Linked DNA regions of Xenopus tropicalis. The protein of the gene in region 1 interacts with the protein of each later gene in a biochemical or structural test. Links are inferred from orthologs where the notes say so. Each region holds a gene or a part of one and is shown in the gene's direction. Other genes may lie near its edges.

The links.
Region 2: the proteins of dab2 (region 1) and fcho2 form a complex in vitro, tested with the Homo sapiens proteins (2 studies listed by BioGRID). The link is inferred for Xenopus tropicalis from reciprocal best matches to the Homo sapiens genes DAB2 and FCHO2.

What each region holds. Positions count from the first base shown.
Region 1 is NC_030677.2:196,524,458-196,529,040, forward strand, and holds the start of dab2 (disabled homolog 2), read left to right. Parts: upstream 1-1,576; 5' UTR 1,577-1,743; intron 1,744-4,583. UniProt on the Homo sapiens protein: Adapter protein that functions as a clathrin-associated sorting protein (CLASP) required for clathrin-mediated endocytosis of selected cargo proteins.
Region 2 is NC_030677.2:183,060,510-183,064,330, forward strand, and holds part of fcho2 (F-BAR domain only protein 2), read left to right. Parts: intron 1-737; coding exon 738-867; intron 868-1,704; coding exon 1,705-1,816; intron 1,817-2,605; coding exon 2,606-2,761; intron 2,762-3,821. UniProt on the Homo sapiens protein: Functions in an early step of clathrin-mediated endocytosis. Has both a membrane binding/bending activity and the ability to recruit proteins essential to the formation of functional clathrin-coated pits.

The sequences.
Region 1 (4,583 bases):
AGTTGCCAGGAGCGGCTTTTTGCCACCCCTGGTAACTGGGGCGCTTCTGCCGCCTGAGGCGAGTTTCTCAACTCGCCTAATGGCAGAAGCGCCCCTTTCTGCCCCTAATTGCAAAATGGCTGCTACTGGCAACTGCCCCGGCGCACTTTATCTCCTTTGTAAATCAAGTCCATTTCTGTACAGAGCTACAGCCTATGCCAGCGATATATAAATAAAGGCTAATTCTACACTGCAACAAGTGAGGATGATAAATACCCAGTGCTGTTACAATCACCGAATAAACAGTTAGGGTGAAGACACGCGGAGCTACTAGCAGCAGCTACTTGTCACGGCTACAGAAATTGACAATGTTGATCATTTACTGATAACTGTCTCTACGTGTGTTTTAGCAGAGGCAATTCTCAGTATTGTCTATGGCAGGGGATTTTCTGAAGTCTAGTATTCATGAAAAAGTAGCTGCTACTAGTAGCTCCGTGTGTCTTCACCCTTAAACTGGCCATACATACACCGATACTATCGTACAAAACCTCGTTTCGTATGATATTCGGTGCCTGTATGTCGACTCGGCGAGGCGACCGATATTGCAGGAGGCTGCTGATATCAGTCGACTTGCCGATCGGGCGAGTTGGAAGATTTTGACCGGGCACCATAGAAGGCGCCTGAACAAAATCTGCCGTCAGGGCTGAATCGGCAGAAGGAGGTAGAAATCCTATTGTTTCTACCTCCATATCTGATGATTCAGCCCTGAATGTCAGTGGAGGGTTGGAACGATCTTTTGTGTGACCGATGGCTTTAGGGTGAAGACATACAGAGCTACTAGTAGCAGCTACTTGTCACAGCTACTAAACACCAGAGAATCCCCTGCCATAGACAATACTGAGAATTGCCTCTGCTAAAACACACGTAGACCCAAATATCAGTAAATGATCAGCATTGTCAGTTTCTGTAGCTGTGACAAGTAGCTGCTACTAGTAGCTCCGTGTGTCTTCGCCCTTAGGGGCAGATTTAGCAAAATGTGAGTCTGCATCTTAATACATAAAAACTCACTCATGTTCTAGTTATTCCTATGGGATATTTAGATGCCTATCTATCAAATGGAGAATTCTAACATTCACCCACTGATAAATACTCTTCTAAAGATCCCACAGGAATGACTAGAACATGGGGAGTTTGTATTAATCTGCAGACTCACATTTAGATAACGAGTTGGACATGGGGGACACTGGGATTTAATGCCCCCTTTCATTCTTCAGGACAGCCCTGCCAGTTGTACAGCAGCATTTCAGCAATACCCCCCCCCCCTCCCATAGGTGCCACAAGGGGCAAGTAAAATGCTTATGTTTCCCTCCCCTTACAGAGCAGCCAGCACCCTTTCGTTTCCAGGTAGAAATGGACGGACGGAGGAATGTGCTTCCTGTGATGCCGACGGTGCGGCTCTGAGGCAGGGCAGTGCGACCAATTGCCAGTCGCTGCTGCCTTGGTGGGGGCAAAGGAATGGTTAAAGCGAGTCGGGGTGGGGGAGTAGCCGAGGCATCAGGCACATCCAGCACATTCCTGGGCGCACTGAGCTGCCAGCAGCATCTGATTAGCGGCACACACAGTATCGGCGGGGCGGCGGGCAGGGGCTGAGCTAAGGCGGCCGGAGGAGGAGGAGGAACAGCGGCAGCAGGGGAGGAAGGAGCAGCAGCAGCGACAGCGACTGACAGCCGCACATCCCAGCAGCCAGGGGCGATTAGCAGCACTGTGAGTAATGAGCCTCTTCTTCCCTCACTGGGGCACAGCTGCCTGAGTACTGCGCTACCGGGGGCAAATCTCTCACACACAGGGGCAAATGTCTCACACACACAGGGGCAAATCTCTCACACACAGGGGCAAATCTCTCACACACAGGGGCAAATGTCTCACACACACAGGGGCAAATCTCTCACACACAGGGGCAAATCTCTCACACACAGGGGCAAATCTCTCACACACAGGGGCAAATCTCTCACACACACAGGGGCAAATCTCTCACACACACAGGGGCAAATCTCTCACACACAGGGGCAAATCTCTCACACACAGGGGCAAATCTCTCACACACACAGGGGCAAATCTCTCACACACACAGGGGCAAATCTCTCACACACACAGGGGCAAATCTCTCACACACAGGGGCAGATCTCTCACACACAGGGGCAGATCTCTCACACACAGGGGCAAATCTCTCACACACACAGGGGCAAATCTCTCACACACACAGGGGCAGATCTCTCACACACACAGGGGCAAATCTCTCACACACACAGGGGCAAATCTCTCACACACACAGGGGCAAATCTCTTACACACAGGGGCAAGGAGCTGGCATGGAAAGGGTCTGGGGCAATGAGAAATGAGTGCAAGGGGGATTTAAAAAGAATTAGAGAGCTAGGGATACAGAGAGAGGCAGACAGGGAGAGACAGTGGCTAAGGTGTGGGTTGCACTACTCCCAAGGGGGTTACACTCATTCCAATGAATTAAAGGGGCCGCATATAATGTGTTTGTGCTTGGGGGGGGGACTCATATAAAAAGGTGAAGGGGTTAAAAGCTTTTGGGAGTCAGTGATTGGGATCTGACACTTGTGGACAGTCACAGGTTGCCTGCCCCAGAGGTAGGGACATTATAACTGAGACATTATGAGGGACATTATAACTGCTACCTCCTGGCAAGTCAGCAAAGTGGCTGTAACTCTATGGGCCCCATTGGCTCCTGGGTTCCTGTACAGCAATATTTGACCCAGAGTCACAAGTGGGTGTCATAGGGGCACTTACAGACAGCTGTGGCTGAGCGTTGTAGTCCAACCGTGGCTAAAGGGCCAGGGGTCAGACGTCCCTAAGGCAAAGTGTGAGTAAGAAACAGAAGGTGCAACTGTAGATGAGCAAGGGAGCCAGCCATTCATTCCCCTTCATTCAACCACTATTCTCCTCACCCAGGCACCTCTCTCTTCCTATCCCTCTCTCTTCCTATCCCTCTCTCTCTCTTCCTATCCCTCTCTCTTCCTATCCCTCTCTCTCTCTCTTCCTATCCCTCTCTCTCTCTCTTCCTATGCCTCTCTCTCTCTCTCTTCCTATCCCTCTCTCTCTCTCTCTTCCTATGCCTCTCTCTCTCTCTCTTCCTATCCCTCTCTCTTCCTATCCCTCTCTCTTCCTATCCCTCTCTCTTCTCTTCTTATCCCTCTCTCTTCTCTTCTTATCCCTCTCTCTTCCTATCCCTCTCTCTTCCTATCCCTCTCTCTTCCTATCCCTCTCTCTTCCTATCCCTCTCTCTTCTCTTCTTATCCCTCTCTCTTCTTATCCCTCTCTCTTCCTATCCCTCTCTCTTCCTATCCCTCTCTCTTCCTATCCCTCTCTCTTCTCTTCTTATCCCTCTCTCTTCTTATCCCTCTCTCTTCCTATCCCTCTCTCTTCCTATCCCTCTCTCTTCCTATCCCTCTCTCTTCTCTTCTTATCCCTCTCTCTTCTTATCCCTCTCTCTTCCTATCCCTCTCTCTTCCTATCCCTCTCTCTTCCTATCCCTCTCTCTTCTCTTCTTATCCCTCTCTCTTCTTATCCCTCTCTCTTCCTATCCCTCTCTCTTCCTATCCCTCTCTCTTCCTATCCCTCTCTCTTCCTATCCATCTCTCTTCTCTTCTTATCCCTCTCTCTTCTTATCCCTCTCTCTTCCTATCCCTCTCTCTTCCTATCCCCCTCTCTTCCTATCCCTCTCTCTTCCTATTCCCCTCTTTCTCTTTGTCTCTGCCAGTGCCTCTGTCTCTTTCTCCGTCGCTGTGCTGCAGTTGTTTGGTTACCATGACTCACTGGAAGGTTTAACATTGCTTCCAAAATAATCCCTTCTCCCATGATTTCCCACAAAGCTCCCTTTCCCTTCTCTCCTGTACTAATCCAGTCCCCCCCTGCATTCCTCTATAGCTCCGATCTAAAAATAAGGGGCCAGAGAGGAAGCAGTTATATAAGCTGTGGAGTCCGGCCGCAGCCCATACCATGCAGAACGGGGGGCACCCTGCACAGATCTGCCCTGTCTGGGCTGCTGCAAGTCATTTCCCCTTTGTTTGAATAGGGAAAGGAAATCCCTTAGTCTCACTCTGCACACAGAGGCATTTACTGGGAGGGGGGATAATATTCATTTTTAAAACCTTTTAGGCAGCGCATTCAGCTTATATAGTATGTTCTGATTCTATTACTAAATAGACATTGGATCCACACCCCCTTAGGCTATATTTGCCTTTTAATTGCCCAGTTTATTGGATAAACTCCTAATTAAAGGGAAAATGTACTCTGCTTCTTTCTTGCAAAAGGCTATGCATTTATTGTGCACATTGAATGCCCATTCTCTGCGTATTTGCCTTTGTACATACTGTATGAGAGCAGATGCCATACTGCTTTTCTAATAGTTATGCATGACCTGCTTGTGGCCACTAGGGGCGCTGTTGCTATTGATGCCTAGAGTGTAGCCATATAGCAAAACTTATTTAGCAATGCAATTATTTTTAGGAGAACCCATATACACAGTAAGCTACAGAGCTTTATTTAGGGACTCAAATAGAGGTGTCCCAGGGCCCTACA
Region 2 (3,821 bases), about 13 Mb from region 1:
CAAATCCCTATATTGTCAGTGGAAAGGCTTTTCAGAGAGATTAGGCTAATGTCCCACATGAAGATTAGTCACCCCCGATAAATCTCTTGTACTGCGGGTGTCAAATTTGCCCATGGGACATGCTTCTTATTCACTGTAATACATGCTTGGGGAACAGGACTTTAAGGGTCCGTTTGCCTTTAAATCAACTTTTATTATACTGCAGATTCTGAGACAATTTGCATTTGGTCTTCATGTTTTAGCAACTCTCTGGTGGCTACAGATCAGTTTACGCTAGCAGTGGTTTGAGAGACTGTAGAAAAATAAGAATTGACCCCAACCCACCTACCTACCCACCCACCCACCCACCCATTTGAAAGATGGAGAGTCAGAAGAGAAAAGCATATCATTAAAGAACTATAAAAATATCAGTTTGCTAAGAATATGACTTGCTAAAACATACCAAGGGATAATGGTGAACTACCCCTGTAAGCAGTCTGGGGGCCAACAAAAACTCTCAAAGATTGTGACATCTAGACCATGGGCCTCCAGTTGATCAGCTCTGCTCAAGGGCATAGGGAAAAGTAAAATCTGAATTAGTAACAGATTTAGAGAAACAAAAGAGAGACCCACTAGACAAAGATTTAAAGAATGCTAGTTTTTTTTACTAGATGTGCAAAGGGACTTAATTATCCTTTGGGCCATTACTTTATACGTTTCATTTGTACATTCAGATGTGTTCTTTGTTTTGTTTTAAGCCACGGCCATTCAGCCCTCCATTGACGTCGAACACCAGTCCTCCTCCCTCAGCCTCCTTGCCTCGCGCTGAGAGCTCCTCCTCAATATCATCTTCCGCTTCTATAAGTGCAGCAAATACTCCCACCTTTGGTAAGTTGTCATCACTGCAGATGTCATATATAGTCACTTTTTGGCTTATTTGTGTATATTTCATGCTACTCGTGACTGTCTCTGCTTCCTCTTGGCCAATAAACAGCAGTCTGACCTTGCTTTATGGCAGAAAATGTAGATACATACTTATAATAAGATGCTTAATCTCTTACCCTTTGTCTGAAAGGATCATTAAATAAGTGTAAACCTACCCAACTGACAAACTGACCTAAACCTGTACCGAACAGCCATCTTATTTAGCTTTAGATTTTAGCTTTAATGATGATCATGAGTCCATGCTAATCTGTAGCACATGTGTGTCAATAGTGCTAGAACATTCATGTTCCTTTTAGGAAACATTACTATAGTTCATTCCTTGGTGTTTCTCCATGTAAATGTTTTCATTCTCTGTAAAGGTGCTGGGTATTTGAAAAGTGTCAGGGTGAGACCAATCCAATGTTTTGTGTCCCACAGCTTTCTAATGATGTGCTTACGTTGCAGGCGGCTGGAAGTAAATGAGGCATGTCTGTTTGTTAGTTACTCACACATGGACTGTGGTTTATGCTATTGCGGGGGGCCATTTGTCTCGTAAAGCCATCCAGATGCCACAATTAGCATGTCTGTAGCCTTGGAAAGGGTAACACAGGTTATCTTGTAAAGGAACCAGCTGCCTACCCATCCATTATGCCTCTTAATTATAATTGTAGATATATATACATTTATGTAACCATTTCCCATGGAACATATCTTTATTTGGTAAATAGATTGGACAAACTGACAAATAGCATGTTTATATTCCCATGCATCCCAATTAACCTAATTACCCTTGTGTTCTAGGCATATCCCGAGGCCCCAGCCCAGTCACCCTTGGGAACCAAGACACATTGCCAGTTGCTGTTGCTCTTTCAGAGTCAGTGAATGCCTACTTCCGAGGAGCAGATCCCACAAAGTAAGTGTTCTCCTTGCAGATCTGTGTTTCACCAGAGGCTATTGCAGTGGATATTTAGGGTATGAACACTACTAGCCTCTGTTTAGAATTGCTGATAATATTATTGAAAGTTATGTGGTGCAGTTTCCCTTAGTATCATATTACAAGCATGTGAACACTTGATGATGGCAATGTCTGTTGTATGGGTTACCAGAAAGAGAACATTAATGTATTCAGGAGGCCTAGTAAATCCTCTCCCCAACATATATGCCTCCTAGGAGATTCTCCAGTTCATCCAAATGTCTTGGCCAGAAATTAAAGGCACTACATGAGGGCCACACTATTATCCTATTCACACTTTAATTTGCTGTGTGAAATCTAAATACAACTTAAATTGGCCGTACAGATCGGCGGACAAGGACCAAATCAATACACCGATACTCTCCTTATCCTGACAGGATTTTTAAACCTGCCTACTGTAGGTTGGGCTGGCCCATCTAAAGGGCTCTATACACAGGCTGATAAGTTGCCTACTCAGACCAGCAGCAACTTTTGTCTCTTATCAGAGATGCTTCCCATATACCGGATAATTGGTGGTGGCTATAAGGAAAGGTTTACAGAATGGCAGCTGCTGTACATACATTTGCTATTTGTCTGACTGGTAAAATGGTTATTAGGCTTCTATATATGTAGGGATCTAGGAAACGCAGTCTGAGAACAAAATGGTTTGTGGATCTGCTACCAAAGGCTTAGTTTAGCAAGTAGAAATGTGAATATGTATTAATGTAACATTGTTGGTATATTTTGCAGATGCATTGTAAAGATAACTGGGGAAATGACAGTTTCTTTTCCAAGTGGGATAATTAAGGTTTTCACAAGCAACCCATCTCCAGCTGTTCTGTGCTTCAGGCTGAAAAACACCAGCAGACTTGAGCAGATCCTACCAAATAATCAGCTTTTATACAGGTACTCCAGGCGACATCTGAGTTGTGGCTACTTTGTAGCTACACAAGTGACTTTAGCTATGACTAAAAGTAACTAATTCCATTATATCATTACTAGAAACACTTATATGCTTTAACTCTCCCAAACCCAGGCTATAGGCAGGTATAGAAACTCCCTACTGCCATTTCTTGTTTTCCCTTAGCATTTGTCTAATACTAATGGGTGAATTAGTATTTCTCTCATATGAGGGAGTTACAGATTAACCTTGCAGTTTCAGCTTTGAATAAGATGCCATTGTACTCTTCTAAGTAGTCACAACCTTTTTTTTTTTAATTAAAGCTCACACTCTTCCTTCAGGCTAAACCCCCAACTTTGTCTTTGTTTACGGTAAAGCTCTGCAGCAAAGCTATACCATTGTACTGAACAATTTGTAAGAGGAACATGTAAAGGGGACCTGTCACCCAGACATAAATGCTGTATAATAACAGTTCTTTGCAAAATAAACAAATCATTTCTTAATAAAAATAATTTCTTTATCAAAACATTCATACCTGTTATGAATATATTTGAAAATCTGAGCTGTCAATCAAATATTGCTGGGCCCCGCCTTTATGCAGTGCAGACAATTGCTTTTGCTTTCCATTCTGCACTTCCTAGTTGTCACTGCACCCCTCTTTTCCCCCTTCCTTCCCTACTCTGTTTAATTGTGTAGCCAGTGCATAGGCATTGGTGCCACTTTTGGCACATACACATGATTTGGTGATGATACAAAGCTTACCTTAATAACAATGCCCACATAATGGCACCCACCTGCTTGCTGTAATTGTGATTTCCAAGAAACAAAATATAAATTATTTATATAGTGTAGGTAAATTTATTTCGCTCCACTTACATGATAAACCTTTTGGAATTATTTTATAACTAGAGGGAGATTTGTTAAACAAGTATATAGGCAATGTGTACCTTGCTACTTGGATCTACATCTTGATCCAGACCCGAATCTCTGTTGCACAGTTCTCTATCAGATCTAATCTTTGATTTGGTATAAAAATGTTCCAAACTATCAGCACAGTAGATTCCC